Linked DNA regions of Macaca fascicularis. The protein of the gene in region 1 purifies or fractionates together with the protein of each later gene. This does not show direct contact. Links are inferred from orthologs where the notes say so. Each region holds a gene or a part of one and is shown in the gene's direction. Other genes may lie near its edges. The genes, in order: SPAST, NUP160, NUP43, NUP98, NUP133, NUP85 and NUP107.

Region 1 (3,500 bases):
AATTTTCTTCTTAATCCTTTTAAACTCTTAGGTCTTTTTGCAATTTTCTTGTTAATCCTTTTAAACTCTTAGGTCTTTTTGTTTTGTTCTGTTTTCCCAAGCCTGTTGCCTTTATTTCTTACTGGGTTAGTATCTAATCTCCTTTGTGCTGTATCTTTTCTAACTCTTCTTTCCTTGGTGGTTTTTTATTCATTACTTTCCTGACCTCTGTTATTCTACTTTTCATCTTCTGTTTTATTTCTTTGAGCATCTATACGTTATTTCCGTAAGCTCTTACATTTCACTGGGCTCTTGTTTCATAGAAAACAATTTTTTGGGGAGGGTGGATCACTTGAGGCCAGGAGTTCGAGACCAGCCTGGCCAACATAGCACAACACTGTCTCTGCTAAAAATATAAAACATTAGCTGGGTGTGGTTACACACACCTGTAATCTCAGCTACTCAGGAGGCTAAGAATCGCTTGAACCCGGGAGGCAGAGGTTGCAGTGAGCCAAGACTGGGGCACTTTACTCCAGCCTGGGGGACAGAGCAAGGCTCTGTCTCAAAAAAAAAAAAAAAAAAAAGAAAACGGTTCTTTGGTTGGGCATCATGGTGGGTCACACCTGGAATCCCAGCACTTCGGGAGGCCAGATCACTTGAGGCCAGGAATTCCAGACCAGCCTCACCAACATGGCAAAACTCCATATCTATAAAAAAAACTTAAGGATAAAAAAATAAAAATTCTTTTAAAATTATTTTATTTCATGGAAAGATATTTGGTCATAATTTTAATTTGCTCTATGGCAAAATCTTCTCATGCATGTTCTTCATTTTATCTAGTTTATGTTTGTTGTGTTTTGTTTGCTCTTTTTGGGGGCAGGTTTTTTTTTTGTTTGTTTAATGAGCTCTGTCCTGGTTTTTTCTTTTTGCTTATTATTTTTCTTTGAATAAAAGAGTTTTCTTGGAAAACCTAGTTTTGGAAGGATATTGTAGGGGAAGGGATAGGTATCTTGAGTAGTCCATGTATACTCTAAACTAACATGCAGCCTCCCTCACTTACAGTGAAGCCCTACCTAATAATGAAGTATATGTGTGTGTAAATAAGAGATAGGGTTGATTTATTCTTCTACTAAAAAATATTGGTCACTGCAAGACATTGCCTTCCCACCAGACTGTTAGATGCCTTCTTATAAAGATAATTCGTCTTAGAGTTTCTTTGTTCAGTCTCACCTTCCTTGCCATTCCTATGCTATCAGTTAGGGTTTACATGGTCTGCAGAGCCAGGCCTATATGCTTGTTTAAATGTGGAGGGATTGGCTTTATTATAACCCTTTAGGGTGTGCTATCTCTTTTGGGGAGGAAAACTGTATTCTGACAGTCATGTCCATGATCTTCAGCAGCAGATCCTTTGTGTGTCTTCCTTTGTCAGTGTAATTTTCACTGCCCTAGGCAGTTCACCTTTATGTATTTTAGTTCCGCAAATATTACCTAGTTTGTTGATGAAGTGTACGTTTCTGTTTCTATTATCCTTGCTGATTTTAGTTTTTTTCAGATTCAAGAAGATAGGAGATCTACTTATATCAGATATTTTGTTTGTTTTAAAGCATTACTGCTATTAAAAACATATACATACATAAATGATTAATTCTAACAATACCAAATTAAGGATTTTTAAACATTAACTAGAGTTTTAAAAGAGTAACAAAAATATTTTTGCATTGATAACTACCAAAATGCATTCCAATGCCTTGAATATTATATTTTAAAAGCTTTTTCCTGTCATTTGCTGCTTCAGCTTTAAATTCAAAATTATATTTCTAAAAGTGCTGGGTTTTTTTTTTTAGGCGTTTCATCAAACGGGTATATGTGTCTTTACCAAATGAGGAGGTATGTATCTGTGTTTGAATTTTTTTTTGTTTTAAAGCAGAAACAAGAACTGCCATCTTGACAATATTAAGTCTTCCAATCCATGGTACAGCTAGTTTGGAAAACAGTTTAGTGGTTTCTTAAAAAGATATACATAAGCTTACTGTCAGACCCAGCAATTTCACTCCTAGGAATTTACCCAAGAGAAACAAAAATGTATGTCTACACAAAGACTTGTACAAGAATTTTTATAGCAGCAGTATCAATAATAGCCAGCACTACAAATGATCTAAAATGTTCCTTTTGGTGAATAAACAAATGTGGTATATTCATTTAATGGATACTGTTATCCATCATACATGCTGCATACTCACTTCATATATTAAGTTTTATGAATGAAACTCCAAAACATTGTAAATGAAAGAAGCAAGATGATATATGTCGCATATCATATGATTCTGTTTATATGCAGAAAAGGTAAATTTATTTATTTATTTTTATTTATTTATTTTTTTTGAGACAGAGTCTTGCTCTGTTGTTTAGGCTGGAGTGCAGTGGCGTGATCTTGGCTCACTGCAGCCTTCACCTCCCGGGTTCAAGTGATTCTCCTGCCTCAGCCTCCTGAGTAGCTGGGACTACAGGCATGTGCCTGGCTAATTTTTTGTATTTTTAGTAGAGATGGGTTTCACTGTGTTAGCCAGGATGGTCTTGATCTCCTGACCTTGTGATCCGCCTGCCTCAGCCTCCCAAAGTGCTGGGATTACAGGCGTGAGTCACCGCGCCCGGCCAGAAAGTGCAAATTTCTAGAAACATAAAGCAGATCAGTGGGTTGTCAGGGTGAGAGTTGGGAATGAGGATTAACTGCAAACAGGTATGAGTGAACTAAAAAGTGTTCTAAAACTGGATTGTGGTGATGATTAAACAATTATATAAATGTATTAAAACTAATTGAATTATACACTTAAAATGGGTGAAATTCATAGTAGATGAATTCATACCTCTGTAAAACTGGTTTTTTTTTTGCAGCAGAATATTTATTGCTATGTTTTTATCCAGGTGTGGTGGCTCACGCCCATAATGCCAGCATTTTGGGAGGTTGAGGTGAGAGGATCGCTTGAGCCAGGAATTCAAGACCAGCCTGGGTGGCATAGGGAGACCCTGTCTCTACAAATACTTTTTTAGAAATTAACCGGGCATGGTGGCACGTGCCTTTGATCCCACTTACTCGGGAGACTGAGATGGGAGGATTGCTCAAACCCAGGATGTTGAGGCTATAGTGAGCTATGATTGTGCCCTGCATTGCAGCCTGGGTAACAGAACAAGACCCTATCTCAAAATAAAAAAAGAATCATTAATTCTGATATTAAATTAGACTGAATGATCATTTTTTAATATTTTGCAGACAAGACTACTTTTGCTTAAAAATCTGTTATGTAAACAAGGAAGTCCATTGACCCAAAAAGAACTAGCACAACTTGCTAGGTGAGTAATTTGGATTTGGTTTATCTCACAGCTTTTATTTATTTTTTTGTAAATAATTATTTTTTTAGTTATTTAAAGTAATCTTAAGTATGAAATGAGTAATTCATTTACAGAAGACTTTTTGTCTCATCCTCTACCTCCTTTGCCTTTTTCTTACGTCTTATTCTTATATA
Region 2 (3,950 bases), on another chromosome or scaffold:
GGCTAATTTTTTGTATCTCACTGTTTCACCATGTTGGCCAGGCGGGTCTGGAACTCCTTACCTCGTGATCTGCCCACCTCGGCCTCCCAGAGTGCTAGGATTACAGGCGTGAGCCACTGCGCCCGGCTAATTTTTCTGTTTTTCGTAGAGGCCGGGTTTCACCATGTTGGCCAGGCTGGTCTTGAACTCCTGACCTCAAGTGATCCTCAAGTCTTGGACTCCCAAAGTGCTGGGATTACAGGCGTGAGCCACCACACCCGACCTTGGTGTATAGTTTTCTTCAGGCACGTTCAGCTACAGATTTGAATGTAATCGAAGTTGTTTTTACTGATGAAGAGTTAGGCAATGAAGTAATTTAATGGTATTCAGGATAAGGAAGAAACACCAAAGAAGTGAGGGACAGTGAAGAGCTTGTATAACAATGGATTTCAGGTAGAATGAGGGGGCTGCACTGCCAAAGTTGGTGTCCCAGAGGGAGTGAAGTGGAAAGATAGGAAATGATGGTCGGAACCAGATAAATGAAACGGAGAATGACAGGGAATGGCTGTGGTCACTGGTAATAGAAGTGACCAACAAGCGTTGGCTATCACTAAGGAACAAAACCTTCCCTGCTGGAGATTAGCATTTTCCCCGATTTTGAACATCTACCCCCACAATATCTTCTAAACATCCACTATGGGCCCTTATTGCATTGACAGCCAAGTGCAAGATCACGGTTGGAATGAATGGCAAATTCTTTTCACGTATCCAAGTGAGTAGCACTCAGGTAACCTCAGCAGGTGGCAGCATCAAGGTTTACCACATTACGTTTCATTATACAGGAATACACGAATACAGTCTCTTGGGGGGAAAAAAGACCAAAACCAAAGGCCCTTCCCTCACTACCCCTTCCTCACCCCGCCAACCCAAGTGCCACTGAAGAGCGAAGGGAGGATCGGCAAAGATTTACAGACGGACACCCTAACCGAGGGAGAGGTGACCAAACACCCGGGATCCGGCAGAGGACGCCCAAAGGCCGGACCTCCCCGGACCTCGCCCCTCCTGGGAGACTGAGCCCCGCGTTTTGGAAACAGAAACAAACCCGGTCCCGCCCCCTGCCCTGCGGCCGCTGAGAAAAGGGCACCGCCCTCCGGAGGCGTTCCAGCCGGCCACTCGAAGATTCCAGCAGATACAGTCGGCCTCCCCTGCCCGCTTCTCTTCTGGATTCCCCGCTGCCCATCCTCATTCTCCCGGTGGAAGCCCCGCAACGAAGGACCGGAGCCCCCTTTCTGCTCCCGGGATGCTTCACCCGTCCGCAGCTCCGCCCGCCCCGCCCCCGGAAGTGACGGCGGCCGCGCGGCCCTGCCTTTGTCCCGTCGGGCATCGCGGCGACGGCGGGAAGATGGCGGCGGCGGGATCCCTGGAACGAAGCTTCGTGGAGCTAAGCGGGGCTGAGCGCGAAAGGCCGAGGCACTTTCGGGAATTCACAGTCTGCAGCATTGGTACGGAAGTGGCCAGGGAGGGCGCGATCCGATCTGTCCCCTCGGGCTCCTCTCATGGGTCCTAGGGTCTCTGACTGCTGGGTTCATCCTCCTGAGTCCACATGCCTCCAGCCCCGGGATCAGAGATTCCTTGATGTCCGACGTTTTCCTCTTTTCTTTGTATGGGTTGTCAGTCTGTCACCCTCTGCTTTATCAGGTCCCTTAGTCCCTGTCATTTCTCAGAAGACGCGTGTGCAGGCTGACCACGTTCATTTTGCAGGGACCGCAAATGCCGTGGCTGGCGCCGTAAAATACAGTGAGAGCGCGGGAGGCTTTTACTATGTGGAGAGTGGCAAGTTGTTCTCCGTAACCAGAAACAGGTTCATTCATTGGTAAGTGCTGTGGTTCGCCAAACTCCCCTGGAAGGTAGGGTTTGGTGTGTAAATTTTAGTTGCTGTTCCCAAAGTGCTATTCTAGAAGCGGTAATCGACACTTAGGGAAAGAGAAAGTTTTTTTTTTTCAGTTCGTATCAGAGTCGGGAAAACTGAGACACAGTTCTAGAAGAGTTTACCCTCCCCCCCCACCAATACACACACACACACCAAGCAACACCAAAAGCAGAGGGAATGTAGCTTAGGGGTATAAAGCCCATAAGACTAGTTTTAAACATGAACCCATTATGTTTTTATAGTGCTTTACAGCTTCCTTCATTGAACAAATATGTTCGAGCTTCAATATGTCAGGCATTGTGCTAGGTACCAGGACGAAATGAACAAAACTGCCATCTTCATCATGCAAGACGTTGTAGCAATGTCAGAATAGTTGTGGACTCACTTTTCATGGGGAAATTTTGTGGAGGAAAACTTGCCCTAGAGGAAAAATACAGGGGTTACGAGAGGCTAATGAGAGGACCAAATGTTATTAGTGGGGCAGGAAAAGGCTTTCACAGTTACCCTGAGGTCTAAAGGACACGAGGTTAGCCAGGTATGGGGAGTGGACAGAGAGGAGTCCAGCAAGCAGGATCACCATATGCAAAGGTCACAAAGTGGAAAGAATGTGGCAGGTTTGGAACTGACCAAAGATCTGTGTGGCTTAAGTGCAGTGGGTAAAACAGAAAGTAATGTGAGATACTGAGGCTGGAGAGGTAGGCAGGACTCGGACCATGAGGGACCCTTAGGCCATTTTTAAGGATTTTTGGATTTTATCCTAAGTACATTGAGTAATAATGGAATAGGTTTTTAAAGAGTTACTAACATCAAAATTGCATTTTTGGATGGGAACAGTTAACACTGGGGATTCCAAAAGGAGCGGGGGAGCAGAGGTTGGAAAACCTATCAGTTACTGTGTTCACAACTTGGGCGGCAGGATCATTAGAAGCCCAAACCTCATGTAGATAGGAATATATACACAATATACTCATGTAACAAAGCTGCACATGTACCCCTGAATCTAAATTTTTTAAAATGTATTTTTAGAAGATCTCAGTCTACTTTGTGGAAAGTGGATTTGGATTAGATGGGTATAATGCAAAAAAAAGTTTGCTTTTATGATGGCCCAAGTAAGGGTTGCTGGTGGTTCAATTGTGGGAATGAATAGAAATAGAAAAGTAGATGGATTCAAGATACCTTTGGAAGATAGATTCACTAGGACTTGGTGGTGGATTGAATATGGGGTAAGGGATGGTAAAAGAAAAGGAGAGAACAAGGACAGCTCCCTGGTGTCTCATGTGACTAACCAGATGTGAGTGGGGAGGGGTTGCCATTTACAGAGATCCATAGAAGATGGATTTTGGAAAGATATGAATAATTCTGTTGGACATAGTAAATTTGAAGTACCTGGGGAGCAGCCCTTTGGAAATGTCAAGTAGGCATTGAAATTTACAGGTCTAAGGCTCAAAAGAGAGACTTTATGTTAGAGATACAAATTTCATTTAGTTAAATATTTTGGCTGGGCACAGTGGCTCACACCTGTAATCCCAGCACTTTGGGGGGCTGAGGTGGGAGGATCTCTTGAGGCCAGGAGTTCAAGACCCCATTTCTACAATTTTTTTTCTTTTTTCTTTCTGTTTTTTTTTCTTTTCTTTTTGAGAGACAGTCTGGTGGCTCCATTGTCCAGGCTGGAGTGCAGTGGTGCAATCATGGCTCACTGCAGTCTCCGCCTCCTGGGTTCAAGTGACCCTCCCACCTCAGCCTCCCAAGTAGCTGCAATTACAGGTATGCGCCACCATGCCCAGCTGATTTTTCTATTTGTTTTTGTAGAGATGGGGTTTTGCCTGGTTGCCCAGGCTGGTCTTGGACTGCCGAACTCAAGCAGTGCCCCATTCTCGGCCTCCCAACTTGCTGGGATTACAGGCGGAGCCACCATGGCCGGCCTGATTTTTAAAAATTAGCCAGGCGGGGTGGCATGTGCCTTTCATCTTAACCACTCAGGAGGCTGAGGCGGGAGGATCTGATCATGCCACTGCACTCCAGCTTGGGAAACAGGGTAAGA
Region 3 (3,994 bases), on another chromosome or scaffold:
CTCCCAAAATGCTGGGATTACAGGCTTGAGCCACCGCGCCCGGCCGGATTTACATTCTAATTAGGGAGGAATATGCATCTTAAGAAAACTAACGATAGAATATATCCAAAATATATGTAATAGTGGCCTAGATATCAAATGCAAGCTCACGCCTGTAATCCCAGCACTTTGGGAGGACAAGGCAGGCGGATCACCTGAGGTCAGGAGTTCGAGACCAGCCTGGCCAATATGGTAAAATCCCGTCTCTACCAAAAAAAAAAAAAAATAGCCAGGCATGGTGACACGCACCTGTAGTCCCAGCTACCCTGGAAGCTGAGGTGAGAGAATCACTTTAATCTGGGAGGCGGAGGTTGCAGTGAGCTGAGATTGTGCCACTGCACTTCAACCTGGGCCACAGAGTGAGACCCTGTCTTCAAAAAGAAAAAAAGCGATGTTGATTTAGATCAACATTGGCTGGGGGCATCAGGAAATGGTTAAGGAAAGAACAGATCCTTGAAGGATAGGCAGGATTCTGAGGAGTAAAGAGGAAGGGAAGAATATTATAGGTGTAACCAAAAGCACAGAAGGAACCTAGAAAACTGATTCCTGGGCTATTGACAATAGATATCACAAACCTCATTCTTAATCATGCACATAATTAAATTGACCAAAGCTAGGCAATTGGCATCAAAACTAAAACTGGAGTCTTTCAGAATTCTAACTCCAGGCTCTGACAGTGTGTATTAACTTTCAAGCAAAGTATTTGTTTGGGGGACAAGAGGGAGAGGTTTAGGATAGTAGGTTGGCACTGTATTCGAGGTACTTCCATGAGTATTTAAGGATTTTTGAATTGTTTTCTATGCGCAGTGACCTGCAACTGCTTAGGTGTGGTTTCAAGGTGGTTTCTACTGTATTGATTTTGTTCTATTTTTGCTCTTAAATTTTACACTGCACAATTATTGAACACAAGAAAATACTGATATTTTAGATTAGGAGCAAGTCCTACTGCTCAAAGGCCAAAGCGCTCTTGCCTTTGCTCAGAGTCGCTCTAGGAGATGGGCCTCTCGGTCTAGGTTCTCCCAGTTTGTATACTGACCGTGCCCACACTGGCTACCGAAGAGAATTGACTCTCTGCAGCCACCGTCTCCCTCCTAAAGTCCCATCCAATCAGGGTTCCGCGGGAAGAGGCGGGGCTGAGAGGCGCGCGTTGTGCTTGCTTTTTGCAGTGCCTGCTGCGGCTGCTTTCGGCATGGAGGAAATTTATGCGAAGTTTGTGTCTCAGAAAATCAGCAAAACCCGCTGGCGACCGCTGCCTCCCGGAAGTTTGCAAACCGCGGAGACGTTTGCTACCGGATCTTGGGACAATGAGGTATCCCTGCTGATAGGGACGAGCCCCTGCCTCTTCCCTCCCTCCGGTTGAGCTGACCCCTGGCCGCGCGCGCGCCAACTCCCACCTTCTGGTTTTTCTCGCACTTCTAGGTCCCTCGGACCCTGTCTCAGGCGCGGTTGCGCCATAGCTCAGAACCCGTGATGGTGTGCCTGAGCCTCATATCTCGTTACGTTTTAAACTCACCATACTATTTGTCTGAGATGTTTTGGAGCAAGCTTTCTGGACGGAAGCGCAACTTTTATTTTCCGATAGTTGACGTTTATGTCATCTCAAGACAAAACTCTTTGTTTTACAGGAAAATTATGTTTCACTGTGGTCTATTGGAGATTTTGGAAACTTGGACTCTGATGGAGGGTTTGAAGGAGACCATCAATTATTGTGTGATATCAGACACCATGGTGATGTCATGGATTTACAGGTAAATCTGTGTAGCATCCAAAAGCTAACTTTGAAAGTCCTGAGTAATACATTTAAACAAGCAGAGCATCATAAAGGTTGTCTTGTATCACCCCTCATTTACAAAAAACTGAGTGCTCTGTAAGTTATGATTTGGCCGACATCATTTAGCCATTTAGTGGCAGAAAAAGGACTGGGAAAGGGGATGTAGATTTAATCATACTTTTTTATTTATTGACCGTCGACTATGTGCTAAGTACCGTTTGGGGAGCTTTACAAAAATTAATTATTATTGGTTGCCGGTATATCAAGTATTGTTACTTTGTTTTACTAATGAGAAAATTGAGACTAACATATCTTAAGCATGTACTATGTGACAGATACTGTGCAGGGGGATTAACATCATTTTGTTTTTTGAATTCTCATGACAACTCCCTAAGCAGAGATTAGTGCTCCCGTTTTAAAGATTTACCACGATTTAGTGAACTTAACTTGGCCAAAGTCTCAAAACCAGTAGTGAGTGGTGGGGATGAAATTGAGCTTTCTTTTTTTCTTTTTTTTTTTTTTTGAGGTGAAGTCTCACTCTGTCTCCCCGGCTGGAGTACAGTGGCATGATCTCGGCTCACTACAGCCTCCACTTCCCGGATTCAAGCGATTCTCCTGCCTCAGCCTCCCAGGTAGCTGGGACTACAGGCACAGGCCACCACACCCGGCTAATTGTTTGTATTTTTAGTAGAGACGGGGTTTCACCATATTAACCAGGATGGTCTTGAACTCCTGATCTCGGCCTCCCAAAGTGCTGGGATTGCAGGAGTGAGCCACTGTGCCTGGCCGAAATTAAGTTTTCAAATCCTGGTGTGGAGAGCCCCTGCATTTTATTCTATAGAAAGCTACCTAGCCCTGGTGTACGCCTGTAATCCTAGCTACTCGGGAAGCTGAGGCAGGAGAATTGCTTGAACCTGGGCGCAGAGGTTACAGTAAGCTGAGTGCACGCCAGTCTGGGCAACAAGAGCGAAACACTGTCCCAAAAAAAAAAAAGAAAGAAAAAGAGACAGAGAGAAGAAAGAGAAGAAAGCTATCTAGCCCTAGGAAAGATCTTTTTTTTTTTTTTTTTTTGAGACGGAGTCTCACACTGTCACCTGAGCTGGAGTGCAGTGGCACGATCTCAGCTCACTGCAACCTCTGCCTCCTGGGTTCATGCAGTTCTTCTGCCTCAGCGTTGAGTAACTGGGACAACAGGCATATGCCTCCATGCCTGGCTAATTTTTGTGTTTTTAGTAGAGATGGGGTTTCACTATGTTGGCCAGGCTGGTCTTGAACTCCTGACCTCGTGGTTCACCCGGCTTGGCCTCCTGAAGTGCTAGGATTACAGGCGTGAGCCACCATGCCAGGACAATATTTTTCCTTTCTTTTTTTCTTTTTTTTTTTTTTTGAGATGGAGTCTTGCTCTGTCGCCCAAGCTGGAGTGGTGCAGTGGCACTATCTCGGCTCACTGCAACCCTGCCTTCTGGGTTCAAGCGATTCTTCTGCCTCAGCCTGCTGAGTAGCTGGGAGTACAGGCACCTGCCACCACGCCCAGCTAATTTTTGTGTTTTTAGTAGAGACGGGGTTTCAACATATTGGCCAGGCTGGTCTCAAACTCCTGGCCTCGTGATCTGCCTGCTTCAGCCTCCCAAAGTGCTGGGATTACAGGCATGAGCCACCGCGCCTGGCTTTTCTTTTTAAAAATTTTTATTCTGTTTTTGAAACTGAGTCTTGCTCTGTCAACCAGGCCGGAATGCAGGGGCTCGATCTTGGCTCGCTGCAAGCTCCGCTTCCCCACAACCCCGACTCATTTTTGTATTTTCGTAGAGACGAGGTCTCGCCACATTGCCCAGGGTGGTCTTGAACTCCTGAACTCAAGCGATCTGTCCGCCTAGGCCTCTCAAAGTGCTGGGATTACAGGCGTGAGCCACCGCACCCAGCCAGGAATGGTATTTTTCTAACGTTTTATTGTGTTGGTCTCAAATTAAATCAATGGCGGGTAAATGTGTCTAGGAAAAAAATACTGTTTATTCATGAAAATGCTTTGTATGGCAGTTTGGACTTTCAGCTCCATTAACACATGTTATTTGCTTAGCACTCATAGGCTCTTTGCTTTTTAAAATTGTTATCATTTGCTACTAATTGAGTTAAATAAATGAATAGATTTCCTCCCTGCTAGTATTTCTGAGTCTTTAACAAGCAGAA
Region 4 (3,500 bases), on another chromosome or scaffold:
TGCTAAAATTACCAATGAAAAAGGAGAGTGCATTGTCTCTGACTTCACTATTGGTCGGAAAGGTAAGTGTGAGTTTAGCATTTAGTGATTAAGCCAGAGAGTTGCACCTTATTTTTGTAATTAGGGGAAGCTTTTGGTAGCTGAATCTGTGTTTTCCTACATTTGGGCCCACCTTGGCCTGAATCTTAGATACTTTGATTGATAAGTAATAAAACAACAAAGACTGGAACCATGTAAAAAAATTTTTTTTTTTTTTTTTCTGTTGAGATGGGTTCTTGCTACATTACCTGGCAGATCTCAACTGCTGGGCTCAAGCATTTCTCCTGCCTCAGCCTCCTGAGAAGCACAGAGCCATATAATATTCTTTGGGCTTAGATATACCTGTTTGGTGCTAGTAACTATTTGGGTCATTTTAATCTTCTGTAATTAAAGAAAATACTGGAAATACCAAGAACTACTGAGAAAATTGAATAGTAGGCAAGAGATGTGTAACACTTAGCATCAACTTCATGTTATTAAGTTATTACTGATAATTTTCTTAGGGAAATGTCGTAGGAAATGTCACTGTGCTATATTGTATTAAAAAGAGCTCAGGCATTTTAAGCCATATGCCAGGTCAAGTACAAAGGTTTGTTTATGTAACAGCATTGTAGATAGATGGGAAGAGATTTAAGAAGGTTGTTTTGAGGCTAATGGAAGTTTTATAAAAATGCAGATGTTAGGCCTGTCGCAGTGACTCACGCCTGTAATCCTAGCGCTTTGGGAGGCTGAGGTAAGACGATCACTTGAGCTCAGAAGTTCCAGACCAGCCTGGGCAACATAGTGAGACCTCACCTTTACCAAAAAGTAAAGAAAATTAGCCAGGCATGGTGATAAGTACTTGTAGTCTCAGCTACTTAGGAGGCTGAGGTGGGAGGATTGCTTTAGTTTAGGAGGTTCAGGCTGCAGTGAGCCAGGACCACTGCACTCCAGTCTGGTCAACAGAACAAGACCTCGCCAAAAAAAGAAAAAAGAAAAGAGAAATACAGATGTTAAATCAGGTAACAACATAATTGAAGTTACTCCCTAAGTCCCCATTCTTACCAGTCTAGGAATTGCTGGATGATTTAAAATACTAATATTTAAAACTGTCTTCTCCTTGTGATTGTTTAATCACTATAGTTGTAAAGTAGGTATTTGCCTTTATACAGAATGAATTTTTAACTATTTGCTCTGATTTATAGGTTATGGTTCAATCTATTTCGAAGGAGATGTGAATTTGACAAATCTAAATTTGGATGATATTGTGCATATCCGAAGGAAAGAAGTAATTGTCTACTTAGATGATAACCAAAAACCGCCTGTGGGTGAAGGGCTAAATAGGTAAGAGTTTATGTATATCAGAAAATTATCAGCTAAATCATAGTTTTTTTTTCTGTCAACATAAATGTGTTTAGATGTATGCTTCTGTAGCTTGCTTTCCTTAGTAGAGTACATATATTGTCTCTGACTTAAAAGTATAAATGGCAAAGAAATGCTGTGTTATGATTTTGAACTCCTTTTCCCTGATTTTATTTTTTTAATTTTTTTTTTTACATCCCTTGGATTCTATTTTATTTTATTTTATTTCATTTCTTTTTTTTTTTTGAGACAGAGTTTCGCTCTTGTTGCCCAGACTGTAGTATAGCAGAATAACATCAGTTTACTGCAACCTCCAACTCCTGGGTTCAAGCGATTCTCCTACCTCAGCCTCCCAAGTAGCTGGGATTGTAGGCGCCCACTACCATGCCTGGCTAATTTTTGTATTTTCAGTAGAGACAGGGTTTCACCATGTTGGCCAGGCTGGTCTTGAGCTCCTGACCTCAAGTGATCCTCCCACCTCGGCCTCCCAAAGTGCTGGGATTACAGGTGTGAGCCACTGTGCCCAGCCTCCCTGATTTTATTGGGTCCAACTGCTAATTTCAAAAACTCTTTTTAATAGTGTTTTGCTTTATTCCTGTTTCTGCTGTGGCTATACTTAACTCTCTATTTTAGTGTGAGAGCCTAGCTTCTAATATAATATCTCTTTAGTCAAGTGAAAGGTCTGTAGTTAAAAATCATTTATCTTTATAACCTACCAACCCTGAATCAGGAAGAGATAGAAAATCTGAGCAGATCGATCGATCCTTTGCTTTGCTTTACTTTGCTCTACCGTGCTGTGCTCTGCTTTGCTTTCCTTTTTTGTTTTCCTTTTCCTTTCCCCTCCTTTCCCTTTCCTCTTCCCCTTCCCCTTCTTTTCTTTTCCCTTTCTCCTCTTTCTTTCTTTTCTTTCTTTCTTCTTTCGAGACAGGGTTTCACTCTTTTGCCCAAGCTGGAGTGCAGTCTTAGCTCACTGCAACCTCTGCCTCCTGGGTTCAAGTGATTTCCTGCCTCAGCCTCCAGAGTGGCTAGGATTATAGGTGCCCGCCACCATGTGCAGCTAATATTTGTATTTTTAGTAGAAACAGGGTTTCACCATGTTGCCCAGGCTCGTCTCAAACTCCTGACCTCAGGTGATCCACCCACTTCGCCTCCTGAATAGCTGTGACCACAGGGATGCACCACCATGCCCGGCTAATTTTTGTATTTTTTGTAGAGATGAGGTTTTGCCATGTTGCCTGCCCGGGCCGGTCTCAGACTCCTGAGCTGAAGTTTTTGGCCTGCCTTGGCCTCCCAAATTGTTGGGATTATAGGTGTAAGCCACCTTGCCCACCCTTAAATGATTTTCAGTAAGGTATAAAAATTACTTGGGGGTAGAGTGTGGTGTGGGGCACACATAAAAAAAACAAAAAGAAAAATATTTGATCGGGAGAAGACAATCTCTGTAACAGAGGATGCTGGAAAACTGGATATCCACATACAAAAGAGTGAAGTTACATCATATACAAAGATTAACCCAAAATGGATAAAATACCTAAGTATAGGATCCAAAAATGTACAACTCTCAAAAGAAAACACAGAGGAAAAGCTTCATAACATTGGTTTTGGCAATGATTTCTCAGATACAACATCAAAAAGTGTAAGCAACAAAAGCAAAAATAGACAAATGATACTCTATCAAACGAAACCTTCTGCACAGCAAAAGACAAGTGAAAAGGCAACCTATAAGAATAGGAGAAAATATATGCCAGTCATATTTGATAAGAAGTTAATAGCCAGAATGTAAAGAATCCTGCGATTCATGGCCGGGCGCGGTGGCTCAAGCCTGTAATCCCAGCACTTTGGGAGGCCGAGACGGGCGGATCACGAGGTCGGGAGATCGAGACCATCCTGGTTAACACGGTGAAACCCCGTCTCTACTAAAAAAATACAAAAAACTAGCCGGGCGAGGTGGCGGGCGCCTGTAGTCCCAGCTACTTGGGAGGCTGAGGCAGGAGAATGGCGTGAACCCGGGAGGCGGAGCTTGCAGTGAGCTGAGATCCAGCCACTGCACTCCAGCCTGGGTGACAGAGCAAGACTCCGTCTCAAAAAAAAAAAAAAAAAAGAATCCTGCGATTCAACAG
Region 5 (3,500 bases), on another chromosome or scaffold:
TTACAGGTGTGAACCACAACACCTGGCCTTTTAAATTTATTTTAGAGATACATGGTCTCACCGTGTTGCCCAGGCTGGTCTTGAACTCTTGGGCTCAAATGATCCTCCTATCTCAGCCTCCCAAAGTGTTGGGATTACAGGTGTGAGCCATCGCGCCTGGTGGTAAAATTTTTTTTTTTAATGTTTTTCCTCTGGACAAAAGCGAGTAACCTTTAAATAACTGAGTACATCAGGGATTGGCAAACCTTTTCTGTAAAGGGCCAAAAGTAACTGTTTTAGGCTTTGGTGGCCATATAGTCTTTACTGCAGGTACTCTATTTCACCAATAGTATCATGAAACATCCCTAGAAAATGCATAAATGAATGTGTATGGTTGCCTTCCAACAAAACTTCGTTTATAAAAACTGGTTTGAGATCAGTTTCACTGGAGGGCTGTACTTTGCTAATCTCTGGATCAGATAGTTGTTTTGATCTTTTTTTTAAAGTCCGGTTTATTGAGCTATAATTTATATAGAGTAAAAAATTTACCCTCTTTAGTGTATAATTCTACAAATTTTTTTTCTTCTTTTTTTTTTTAAGATGGAGTGTTACTCTATCACCTAGACTGGAGTGCAGTGGTGTGATCTCAGCTCACTGCAACCTCCGCCTCCCGGGTTCAAGCAGTTCTCCTGCCTCAGCCTCCCAAATAGCTGGGACGACAGGCATGTGCCACCATGCCTGGCTAATTTTTGTAGAGACGGCTTTGCCACATTGGCCAGGCTGGTCTTAAATTCCTGAGCTCAGGTTATCTGCCCACTTTGGCCTCCCAAAGTGCTGGGATTATAGACGTGAGCCACTGCACCCGGCCCTAATTCTACAAATTTTGACAGATACATAGTTTAGTCATTTAATCACAACAATCAATACAGAACAGTTGTATAACCCCCCAGATTCCCTTGTGCCATTCTGTCATCGACCCCTCCATCCACCCTTAGCCCCTGGAGACCACTGATGTGGTTTCTGTCTCTATAGTTTTGCCTTTTGCTTAATGCCACAGAAATGGAACATACAGTTTAAAGCTTTTTGAGTCTGGCTTCTGTCACTTAGCATAATATATTTCAAATTCATTTGGTTTTTTTTTTTTTTTTTTTTAACTACTGAATAGTATTCTTTTGTATGGAGATACCACCGTTTGTTTGGCTGTTCAGCAGTTGGAAGACACTGGGTTGTTTTCAGTTTTAGGCAATTATGAATAAAGCCACTACAGTCATTGGTACACAGGTTTTCATGTGAACATAGTTATTGGTTTTTTGTTTTTGTTTTTTAATTTTCTCTTGTATAGGTATCCACGAATGGGATTGCTAGGTTATTGGAAGCATATGTTTAATTTTATAGGAAACTCCTAAGTTGTTTTTTAGGGAGGCTTTACATCTTTATTTCTTATTGATTAGTGATGGGCTGGTGATTCTGGCAGCAGCATGGCACTCAGCAGACAATCCGTGTCTCATCTATTACTCTCTGATAACAATAGAAGATAATGGTTGCCAAATGTCAGATGCAGTTACTGTAGAAGTCACTCAATATAATCCACCTTTTCAGGTAAGATTTATGTTGGTTAAATTACAAAGCAATAATATGTTGAATAGTTTTCTAACTATTTCAGGGTCTTATTTGTTTATTTACAGTTTTGCTCTGTCACCCAGGCTGGAGTGCAGTGCCTTGATCTCTGCTCACTGCAACCTCTGCCTCCCCTTCCAGGTTCAAGTGGTTCTCCTGCCTCAGCCTCCCGAGTAGCTGGGACTGTAGGCGTGTGCCACTATGCCCAGCTAATTTTTATAGTTTTAGTAGAGACAAGGTTTCACCATGTTGGCCAGACTGGTCTCGAACTCCTGATCTCAAGTGATTCCCCCAACTTGGCCTCCCAAAGTGTTGGGATTACAGGCGTGAGCCACGATGCACGGCCCATTTCAGGGTCAAATTTCTTGACAGATTTCATCTGCAGGGCTTGGCAATATTTTAAAATAGCTTGTTTCTAGACATTGTTGCATTTTCTTTGCCATCTCAGGCTTGTTCTTTTGCTTAGTTTTGGCTAAAGGAAAATTAGAATGGAAGCAACTAGCAGAAAGCAGTTTGTTTATTCTGCTCTAGGTCTTTGGAGGGATTGTCATCTCTGTATTTAAGTAGAAAGAAGGTATTAATTAATTTCAGGGTGAAAGTAAGGAAGAAACCACGCTGGGCATGATGAGTACATGCCTGTAGTCCCAGCTACTCAAAAGGCTGAGGCAGGAAGATCACTTGAGCCCAGGGGTTTGAGGCTGTTGTGTGCCGTGTTCACACCTGTGAATAACCACTGCATTCCAGCTTAGGCAATATAGTGAGACCCCATCCTAAAACAAGAAGAAAAAGAAAAGAAGAAAGCTGGTAGGATTTAGGGTTTGGTTTAGAGCTTTGCATATCATAGAAAAATCCCCCTTTTTACCCAAAGCAAGATTATGTTTGTATTCAGCAGTGTTACATAGTCATCAAAGTTCTTTTAAACAACTGAAAGACGGCCTTTCTAATTTTAAATTCATTAATAGCAATTAAACATGTTTAATAACAGATATTCATGAAGAAAAAGCTGAACATCTATAAATTTATTTTATTTACTCTTACATGGTATCTGATTCTGTTAAATCCTTGTTTGTTTATTTTTGAAGAGGGAAAGTCTTGCTATGTTGCTTGGACTGGAGTGCAGTGATATTCACAGGTCCGTCAATAGTGCATGGTAGCCTCCAACTCCTGGGCTCAAGCAGTCCTCTCAGGTAGCTGGGATTACAGGTCTGCACCACCGTTCCTGGCTTAAATCTTCACTTTTTTTTTTTTTTTTTTTTTAATCCTTACTCTTAACATGACTTGTTTAATTGAATCCTGTAAGAAAATCTTTTGATTTGTTCTTTTATGTCAAACAGAAATAAACTTTATTGTGTGTTCTGATTATGCAGTGTGGAAAACATGCTCAATGTTAGAAAAAAATTCAGCCAGGGCAGAAGACTATAAAGAGAATTTGAGGATTAAAAAACAATTCTAGGACCTCACATTTAATGTTTCTATAAAATTAGTTCTTTAATAACAGCTTATTTTTAGCATATTCTAATTTTATTTAATGAGATTTATTTTTATTTCTGCCTCTGATTTTATATGTAAACAAATCAACTAAGTTTTCTTGTCATTAATATCTTGCCAGTAAGGTAAGAACCAAAATGTTTGTTTATCAGGGATCATTTATAAAAAATTGCCAGTTCTTAATACAATGAATTAGTGCTTTCATTTTCTCCCTTGAATTTGTCATAGGCTTCTAGTTATAGTCATCATCATGGAAATGTTTTCAAAATTTGTTAATTTTGGACATTAACAAATTAGGCCAGGTGTGGTGTCTCATGCCTGTAATCCCATCACTTTGGGAGGCTGAGGTGGGTGGATCACCTGAGGTCAGGGGTTCGAGACCAGCCTGGCCAACATGGTGAAACCCTGTCTCTACT
Region 6 (3,980 bases), on another chromosome or scaffold:
ATCCACCCACCTCGACCTCCCAAAGTGCTGGGATTACAGGCGTGAGCCACCGCGCCCGGCCTAAATTTTGTATGTTTAGTAGAGATGGGGGTTTCCCCATATTGGCCACGCTGGTCTCGAACTCCTGAACTTGTGATCCACCCGCCTCGGCTTCCCAAAGTTTGGGGATTACAGGCGTGAGGCACCGCACCCTGCCCAAGCCCGGCTAATTTTTAAAATATTTTTAGTAGTGACGAGGTTTCATCATATTGGCCAGGCTGGTCTTGAACACCTGACCTCCAGTGATCCGCCCATCTCGGGCTGCCGAAGTGCTGGGATTAGAGGCTTGAGAAGCCTCTAATCCTTCAGGAGCATCGATTTTGTCCCCGTGCCTCTTTTTTTTTTTTTTTTTTTTTGAGACGGAGTCTCGCTCTGTCGCCCAGGCTGGAGTGCAGTGGCACAATCTCGGCTCACTGCAAGCTCCGCCTCCCGGGTTCACGCCATTCTCCGGCCTCAGCCTCCCGAGTAGCTGGGACTACAGGCGCCCGCCACTGCGCCCGGCTAATTTTTTATATTTTTAGTAGAGACGGGGTTTCACCATGGTCTCGATCTCCTGACCTTGTGATCCGCCCGCCTCAGCCTTCCAAAGTGCTGGGATTACAGGCGTGAGCCACCGCGCCCGGCCTCCCGTGCCTCTTGTGTGTGTTCTAGTGTGGGAGTGACGGCGACTGCTTTCCAGCACAAGCCCATTTGACTGTTTGGGTTTGGACAAGTGGCTGCTACGACACTAAGGTGGAGATAAGGATGGAGCGAGGACTCCCAGAGTTGGGAAAGCTTGCAGGTTTACTGGGACCTCAGTCCGGCACAAGTTCCCACCCAGGTGCCGCCGCCCCAGCCTACGCACGCGCAGTCGCACCGTCTCTGGCCAAGGGTTCCTCCTGCCCCGCCCGCCCTCTCCGGGGGCCTTCTCTCCGCTCGGCACCAGGGTGTCCGCGGCGCCGCCTGATCCCGTTAGCGCGGTACTGTGAGTGCAGTCCGTCCTCGGCGCTGTTTTCCCTGACTTGCTGTCGACGCCAGGAAGGAAGGACGCGCGCAGAGGACCGCAGAGGGGTGGCCGTGGCTGAGGGAAGAGAGCGCCGCAGCACTGAAGGTTTGGGCTTGCAGGCGCTGCAGGAGGCGCCCAGGCGGGGTCCTGTCTCTCAGGCAGCTCTGAGCGGGAGGCCTGAGCCGGAAGCATTGACGTCCCGGCGACTTCCCAGAGCCTGGGGTTCGGCGCTATGGAGGAGCTCGATGGCGAGCCAGCAGTCACTGTAAGGGCACCCCGAACAGGCTTGATCGCCCTTGTGGGTTGAGAACTGCGTCTGCTTCGTTACTTCAGGCTTGTCTGCTTCCCTACTGGCCGCGAGGCTCTCGTCCCCTTCCCTTGATTCAGTTGCCACTTTCCGGAGGTCGCAGTGTTAACTAGGTGCCCGACCTCGGGTCGTAGTGGTCGCGGGGTTTCTGCCACCAGTCACAAAGCCAGGCCTCGAAGGTCCCAGTCCGTCCCTTTCCTTCTTTTGTCTTGCTGACCTTTCTACTTCCCTCGCATTTCCTCTTGGGTATTAGAGTGGGTTCAGCCCAAGCAGAGGAATTTATGTTTTTCTTCCAGCCATATTAAGCTCTGCATCGCGGCACGTTGAGTTTCTGCTTGTGTGACCTAAGGTTTATTAAACGTATTATCTCAGGAGACTATTCATATTTTATCGCTGTGCATTCAATTCCATTTGAACTTTGAAGAGAGTATGTCAACTGTGGATGATCTGTGATGTGTATAAAAAAAATTCATGGACTTTATGTGCGACATACCTACCGTTTCTGCTACTTGGAATGCTTTTGTTTTCCCTCTTTCTCTTGTTAACCGCTGACTGAGGCAGGTCTCAACCGATAAAGGTTTATTTAGCTAAGGTTGAGGATCCAACCGGGAAAAAACACAGGTCCCAGGAGGATCTGAGACTTGTGCTTTTTCCAGAGATGGTTTTGGGAACATCAGTAGTTAAAGAGGAAGGAACTAGCAGGAGGGGCAAAAAAGGGAGGTTAGGCAGTGAGGAGGCAAATGGTTACATTCTTGTGAGTCTCTGATTAGCCTCAGTAAATCTGCATTTTACCTGTGAAAAGAGGGAGTAGAGGAAAAATTTATGTATGCATTTATCTCAGGGTAGGTAGAGGGATGGTTTCATTTCTTTTTTTTTTTTTTTCTGAGACGGAATCTCGCTCTGTTGCCCAGGCTGGAGTGCAGTGGCGCCCCTCTGGGCTCACTGCAAGCTCGGCCTCCTGGGTTCACACCATTCTCCTGCCTCAGCCTCCCCCAGTAGTTGGGACTACAGGCGCCCACCACCACGCCCGGCTAATTTTGTTTTGTATTTTTAGTAGAGACGGGATTTCACCGTGTTAGCCAGGATGGTCTGGATCTCCTGACCTCGTGATTTGCCCACCTCGGCCTCCCAAAGTGCTGGGATTACAAGTGTGAGCCACTGCGGCTGGCCTCTTTCTTTTTTTGAGACGGAGTCTCACTTTGTCACCAAGGGTGGAGTGCAGTGGCGCCATCTCAGCTCACTGCAACCTCTGGCTCCCAGGTTCAAGCGATTCTTCTACCTCACCCTCCTGAGTAGCTGAGATTACAGGTGCGTGCCACCACACCCAGCTAATTTTTATATTTTTGGTAGAGATGGGGTTTCACCATCTTGGTCAGGCTGGTCTTGAACTCCTGACCTCGTGATCCGCCTACCTCAGCCTCCCAAAGTGTTGGGATTACAGGCGTGAGCCACCACACCTGGCTAGGAGTTCGAGGCCAGCCTGGCCAACATGGCGAAACCCCGTCTCTACTAAAAAAAGTACAAAAATTAACCTAGCGTGGTGGCGCATGCCTGTAATCCCACCTACTCAAGAAGCTGAGGCAGGAGAATCGCTTGAACACAGGAGGCAGAGGTTGCAGTGAGCGGAGATCGTGAGATCGCGTCACTGCACTCCAGCCTGGGCAACAAGAGTTCGAACTCCTGGCCGGGCGCGGTGGCTCAAGCCTGTAATCCCAGCACTTTGGGAGGCCAAGACGGGCGGATCACAAGGTCAGGAGATCGAGACCATCCTGGCTAACACGGTGAAACCCCGTCTCTACTAAAAACACAAAAAATTAGCCGGGCGAGGTGGCGGCGCCTGTGGTCCCAGCTACTCGGGAGGCTGAGGCAGGAGAATGGCGGGAACCCGGGAGGCGGAGCTTGCAGTGAGCTGAGATCTGGCCACTGCACTCCAGCCTGGGCGACAGAGCGAGACTCCGTCTCAAAAAAAAAAAAAAAAAAAAAAAAAGAGTTCGAACTCCTGACCTCAGATGATCTGCCCGCCTCAGCCTCCCAAAGTGCTGGGATTACAGGTGGGAGCCACTGTGCCCAGCACAAAATGAATTTTTCTTACTAGTGTTATAAGAAAATGTTATTGAAGGATACAATGTTATTACAGGACCAGCTGTGCTCTTCACTTAAAGTGTTTTTCAGCCAGGCTGGCATGGTGGAAAGTGTTTTTCAGCCAGGCGGGCACGGTGGCTCACGCCTGTAGTCCTAGCACTTTGGGAGGCTGAGGCGGGTGGATCACCTGAGCTCGGGAGTTTGTAACCAGCCTGGGCAATATGGTGAAACTCCGTTTCTACTAAAAATGAAAAAAAAAAAAAAAAGCCGGGTACGGTTGCACACATCTATAGTCCCAGCTACTCAGGAGGTTGAGGCAGTAGAAGACCTTGAACCCAGGAGGCGGAGATTGGAGTGAGCTGAGATTGTGCCACTGTACACCAGGCTGGGAGACAGAGTGAGTCGTTGTCTCAAAAAAAAAAAAAAAAAAAAAAAGAATAGAACGACTTCAGTAAGAAGAACATTCTTCATTTTAGATTTCTATGTCTTATTTTACTAGGTGATTCCAGGTGTGAATTCCAAGAAGAACCAAATGTGTTTTGACTGGGGTCCAGGGGAGATGCTAGT
Region 7 (3,500 bases), on another chromosome or scaffold:
CAGGGTGCTGATATTGGAGAAGATGCCAGAAAACACAATATATATACCTTGTTTGTCACTTGACAAAACATTTATTCATGATATGAATTTTTGGAGGCAAAAAATATATATATTTAACAGTTTTTATTTCTTGATGCTGCAAAATTATTTCTAAGAATCAAATGTTAAAAATTTTGGTGAAACGATAAAAGTGAAAACTTTTGTTATTTTATATTTTGGTTCTTTATTTTACATTTTAGGAAGCCCATGAAACCTTTAATGAGTGGTTTAAGCATATGAATTCAGTTCCACAAAAACCTACTTTGATACCTCAACCAACTTTTACTGAGAAAGTGGCTCATGAACACAAAGAAAGGAAATATGAAGTAAGTTAAATATGGATCTGGGATGTGCCTATTGCATCTTATAAATGTATGTTGTATATTTAAATAGATCATTTCTTCAGCACTATCTTTCTATCATAACAGGTAATCTTCCTGTTAATGTCCTGCTTTGGGAGACACAATCTGTTTAGTTACTGTTCTGTAGGTAATTAACCAAACATGAAAAATGCCTTCAGGTGACATGAACATTCATTTACAAAGTTAACATTTTAGCATTTTATTTAACTGCAGTCTGTTGATACTTATTTTTGTATTTGGCAGACTGAAACGTCAACTCTTTAGAATGATGTTCTATATGTATGTTTCTGTCTGTACTTTACAAATACATTATTTATTGGGTTTTATACATTATATGTCTGCCTTGTGTTTGTTTTGCAGATGGATTTTGGTATTTGGAAAGGGCATTTGGATGCCCTAACTGCTGATGTGAAGGAGAAAATGTATAACGTCTTGTTGTTTGTTGATGGAGGGTGGATGGTGGATGTTAGAGAGGTAAGCTGTGTGCATTGTTTATAGCCAAAAACCGAAACAGTCACCATGTTTTTTTAAAAATGTTCTGTCTCTAAATGGAAGCATCTACAGATGTTACATAATTGTAGATATAGCTAAATCCCATATTTTAAGCTAAACTGAAAATACTAGCTAGGGAATGGGAATATTTGATTCTTGGATAAAGTGTTAGTTCACATTTACTGTGTTCACACAGGATACAAAAATCTAATTTTTAAAAATTCTGGAGCTAAAAATTTAATTATACATGTATGTGACTCCATTTACAGATATAAAGATAACTCGAGTAGTATCAGTAAGGCATAGCTAAGGTAGGGGCTCTCACCTCTGGGCTGTCCATTTTAATGACCTGGCAAACTTTTAAAAAATACTACAGGGTTCTACTCCCAGAGATTCTGGTGTAATTGGTCTGAGGTAGGGCAGGGGTTTGTTTTTGTTTTTTTAATCACCTGGAGTGCTTTAATGTAATATATAGCCTGTGTTGAGAACCAGTTACAGAAGTATTAAGTGCCATAAGAAAGGCACAAGTTAAGTATTTTCTGAGTACCAGAAAAGAAAAGATTGTTTCCACCTGAAAGGGAACTGGAAAGTATGCTTGAAATGTATAACATTTAACTGAATCTTGAACATACTGGTAGAATTTGGATGAGCTGAGATGGGGAAAGGAAGGATACTGAGATAATAGTCATAGAAGGGAAAGACATTGCAGCCTGACCCTGGTGCATGACAGAAACAATGAGTAGCTTAGTTTATCCTTTGTAGACCTGATGAGCTGTCTGAGAACTGGAAATGCTGGCTTCTTGGATATTCGATGTATTATTTTGAACAAAGAAAATGATAGGAGTGTTCTTGATATCTTTCCTTTTGCTATTCTTCATACTCTCATCTATTTAATACTTTTTCTTTAATTTTAGCTGCTGCTTTTTTTTTTTTTTTTTTTAGCCTCTCTGACCAGAAGGAAAAAGAATAGAGGCGGGACAGTGAACTAAATTTGAGCCCCTATTTGCCACTATTACTGAGGGAGTAATTATCTCAAATGTCTCCACTTTATTTTTTTGTTGTTGTTTTAGAGACAACATCTTGCTCTGCCACCCAGGCTGGAGGACAGTGGCTTGATCATAGCTCACTGCAGCCTCAAACCTTTGGGCTCAAGCAGTCCTTCTGCATCAGTCTCCCCAGTAGCTAGGACAACAGGCACACGCCATCATGCCTGACTGGTTTTTTTTTTTTTTTTTTTTGAGACTGTATCTTGCTGTGTTGCCCAAGCTGGTCTTGAATTCCTAGCCTCAAGCTGTCCTCCCTCCTTGGCCTCCCAAAGTGCTGGGATTACAGGCATGAGTCACTGTGTCTCCACCTTTTTTTTTTTTTTTTTTGAGAAAGAGTTTTGCTCTTGTCGCCCAGGCTGGAGTGCAATGGCACAACCTTGGCTCACTGCAACCTCTGCCTCCCAGATTCTCTTGCCTCAGCCTCCCAAGTACCTGGGATTACAGGCATCTGCCACCATGCCCAGCTAATTTTTGTATTTTTAGTAGAGATGGGATCTCACCATGTTGGCCAGGCTGGTCTTGAACTCCTGACCTCAGGTGACCCACCTTCCTTGGCCTCCCAAAGTGCCTGGGATTACAGGTGTGCGCCACTGTGCCCAGCCGAGTCTCCACTTTTTATCCTAACGTTCATAATAGAACTCCCTTGACTTGTTTTAAACCTTCCACAGGTTCCTCTGGCAAAACCTTTCTCATCTGATTCATGCTGATTCTTTTGAAGATAAAATTTTAATGTTGTAAAATGCTAATTAAGTGTCACTTAAATTTTGAAAAGACTTCAATGCTTTACTTATATATAAATCTTTGCTATTCTAATTATTAATTAAGTAGATTAGGTAGTGAAAGCCACAAAATAGTCTGGGGTCTCGTAAAATTGGAGTTGAGGTCAAGCGTGGTGGCTCACGCCTGTATTCCGAGCACTTTGAGAGGCTGAGGCGGGTGGATCACCTGAGGTCAGGAGCTTCAGACCAGCCTGGACAACATGGCAAAACCCCATTTCTACTAAAAATACAAAAAAAATAGCCCAGTATGTTGATGCATGCCTGTAGTCCCAGCCACTGGGGAGGCTGAGGCAGGAGAATGGCCTGAACCCAGGAGGCAGAGGTTGCAGTGAGCCGAGATCGTGCCACTGCACTTCAGCCTAGGTGACAGAGTGAGACACTGTCTCAGAAAAAAAAAAAGGAGTTGAGATGGAAGGCAATGAATGATATGCCATTTTGTTTCATCAGGGATTTAAAAATCAATATTCAGTCTCAATTATTTCTTTAAAACTAATCCAGAAAAGAGGTTTGTTGAACAGTTAAATGATTAATAACATTTTAATCACCTTTGTTGAGCCTAATACTCCTATATGGTCGATGACGTAGGGCACTGTTCAAGGCTCCTGCTAACACATGTCACTTGTATGTGAATTAGAAAATTGTAATTCTAGCCGGGAGCGGTGGCTCATGCCTGTAATCCCAGCACTTTGGGAGGCCAAGGAGGGTGGGTCACATGAGGCCAGGAATTCGAGGCCAGCCTGACCAATATGGTGAAACCCCGTTTCTACTAAAAATACAAAAAA

What was found.
Region 2: the proteins of SPAST (region 1) and NUP160 purify together in Homo sapiens (affinity purification with mass spectrometry; 3 studies listed by BioGRID and IntAct, with this or other methods). This does not show direct contact. The link is inferred for Macaca fascicularis from reciprocal best matches to the Homo sapiens genes SPAST and NUP160.
Region 3: the proteins of SPAST (region 1) and NUP43 purify together in Homo sapiens (affinity purification with mass spectrometry; 3 studies listed by BioGRID and IntAct, counting the BioPlex papers as one, with this or other methods). This does not show direct contact. The link is inferred for Macaca fascicularis from reciprocal best matches to the Homo sapiens genes SPAST and NUP43.
Region 4: the proteins of SPAST (region 1) and NUP98 purify together in Homo sapiens (affinity purification with mass spectrometry; 3 studies listed by BioGRID and IntAct, counting the BioPlex papers as one, with this or other methods). This does not show direct contact. The link is inferred for Macaca fascicularis from reciprocal best matches to the Homo sapiens genes SPAST and NUP98.
Region 5: the proteins of SPAST (region 1) and NUP133 purify together in Homo sapiens (affinity purification with mass spectrometry; 3 studies listed by BioGRID and IntAct, counting the BioPlex papers as one, with this or other methods). This does not show direct contact. The link is inferred for Macaca fascicularis from reciprocal best matches to the Homo sapiens genes SPAST and NUP133.
Region 6: the proteins of SPAST (region 1) and NUP85 purify together in Homo sapiens (affinity purification with mass spectrometry; 3 studies listed by BioGRID and IntAct, counting the BioPlex papers as one, with this or other methods). This does not show direct contact. The link is inferred for Macaca fascicularis from reciprocal best matches to the Homo sapiens genes SPAST and NUP85.
Region 7: the proteins of SPAST (region 1) and NUP107 purify together in Homo sapiens (affinity purification with mass spectrometry; 3 studies listed by BioGRID and IntAct, counting the BioPlex papers as one, with this or other methods). This does not show direct contact. The link is inferred for Macaca fascicularis from reciprocal best matches to the Homo sapiens genes SPAST and NUP107.

The regions. Positions count from the first base shown.
Region 1 is NC_088387.1:90,032,394-90,035,893, reverse strand, and holds part of SPAST (spastin), read left to right. Parts: intron 1-1,823; coding exon 1,824-1,866; intron 1,867-3,247; coding exon 3,248-3,327; intron 3,328-3,500. UniProt on the Homo sapiens protein: ATP-dependent microtubule severing protein that specifically recognizes and cuts microtubules that are polyglutamylated.
Region 2 is NC_088388.1:17,983,713-17,987,662, forward strand, and holds the start of NUP160 (nuclear pore complex protein Nup160), read left to right. Parts: upstream 1-1,150; 5' UTR 1,151-1,279; coding exon 1,280-1,481; intron 1,482-1,740; coding exon 1,741-1,852; intron 1,853-3,950. UniProt on the Homo sapiens protein: Functions as a component of the nuclear pore complex (NPC). Involved in poly(A)+ RNA transport.
Region 3 is NC_088378.1:57,733,078-57,737,071, reverse strand, and holds the start of NUP43 (nucleoporin Nup43), read left to right. Parts: upstream 1-1,194; 5' UTR 1,195-1,228; coding exon 1,229-1,348; intron 1,349-1,664; coding exon 1,665-1,787; intron 1,788-3,994. UniProt on the Homo sapiens protein: Component of the Nup107-160 subcomplex of the nuclear pore complex (NPC). The Nup107-160 subcomplex is required for the assembly of a functional NPC.
Region 4 is NC_088388.1:70,551,403-70,554,902, forward strand, and holds part of NUP98 (nuclear pore complex protein Nup98-Nup96), read left to right. Parts: coding exon 1-62; intron 63-1,223; coding exon 1,224-1,362; intron 1,363-3,500. UniProt on the Homo sapiens protein: Plays a role in the nuclear pore complex (NPC) assembly and/or maintenance. NUP98 and NUP96 are involved in the bidirectional transport across the NPC. May anchor NUP153 and TPR to the NPC.
Region 5 is NC_088375.1:19,615,425-19,618,924, forward strand, and holds part of NUP133 (nuclear pore complex protein Nup133), read left to right. Parts: intron 1-1,430; coding exon 1,431-1,578; intron 1,579-3,500. UniProt on the Homo sapiens protein: Involved in poly(A)+ RNA transport. Involved in nephrogenesis.
Region 6 is NC_088390.1:81,592,508-81,596,487, forward strand, and holds the start of NUP85 (nuclear pore complex protein Nup85), read left to right. Parts: upstream 1-1,180; 5' UTR 1,181-1,256; coding exon 1,257-1,289; intron 1,290-3,912; coding exon 3,913-3,980. UniProt on the Homo sapiens protein: Essential component of the nuclear pore complex (NPC) that seems to be required for NPC assembly and maintenance. As part of the NPC Nup107-160 subcomplex plays a role in RNA export and in tethering NUP96/Nup98 and NUP153 to the nucleus.
Region 7 is NC_088385.1:75,497,793-75,501,292, forward strand, and holds part of NUP107 (nuclear pore complex protein Nup107), read left to right. Parts: intron 1-239; coding exon 240-365; intron 366-761; coding exon 762-875; intron 876-3,500. UniProt on the Homo sapiens protein: Plays a role in the nuclear pore complex (NPC) assembly and/or maintenance. Required for the assembly of peripheral proteins into the NPC. May anchor NUP62 to the NPC. Involved in nephrogenesis.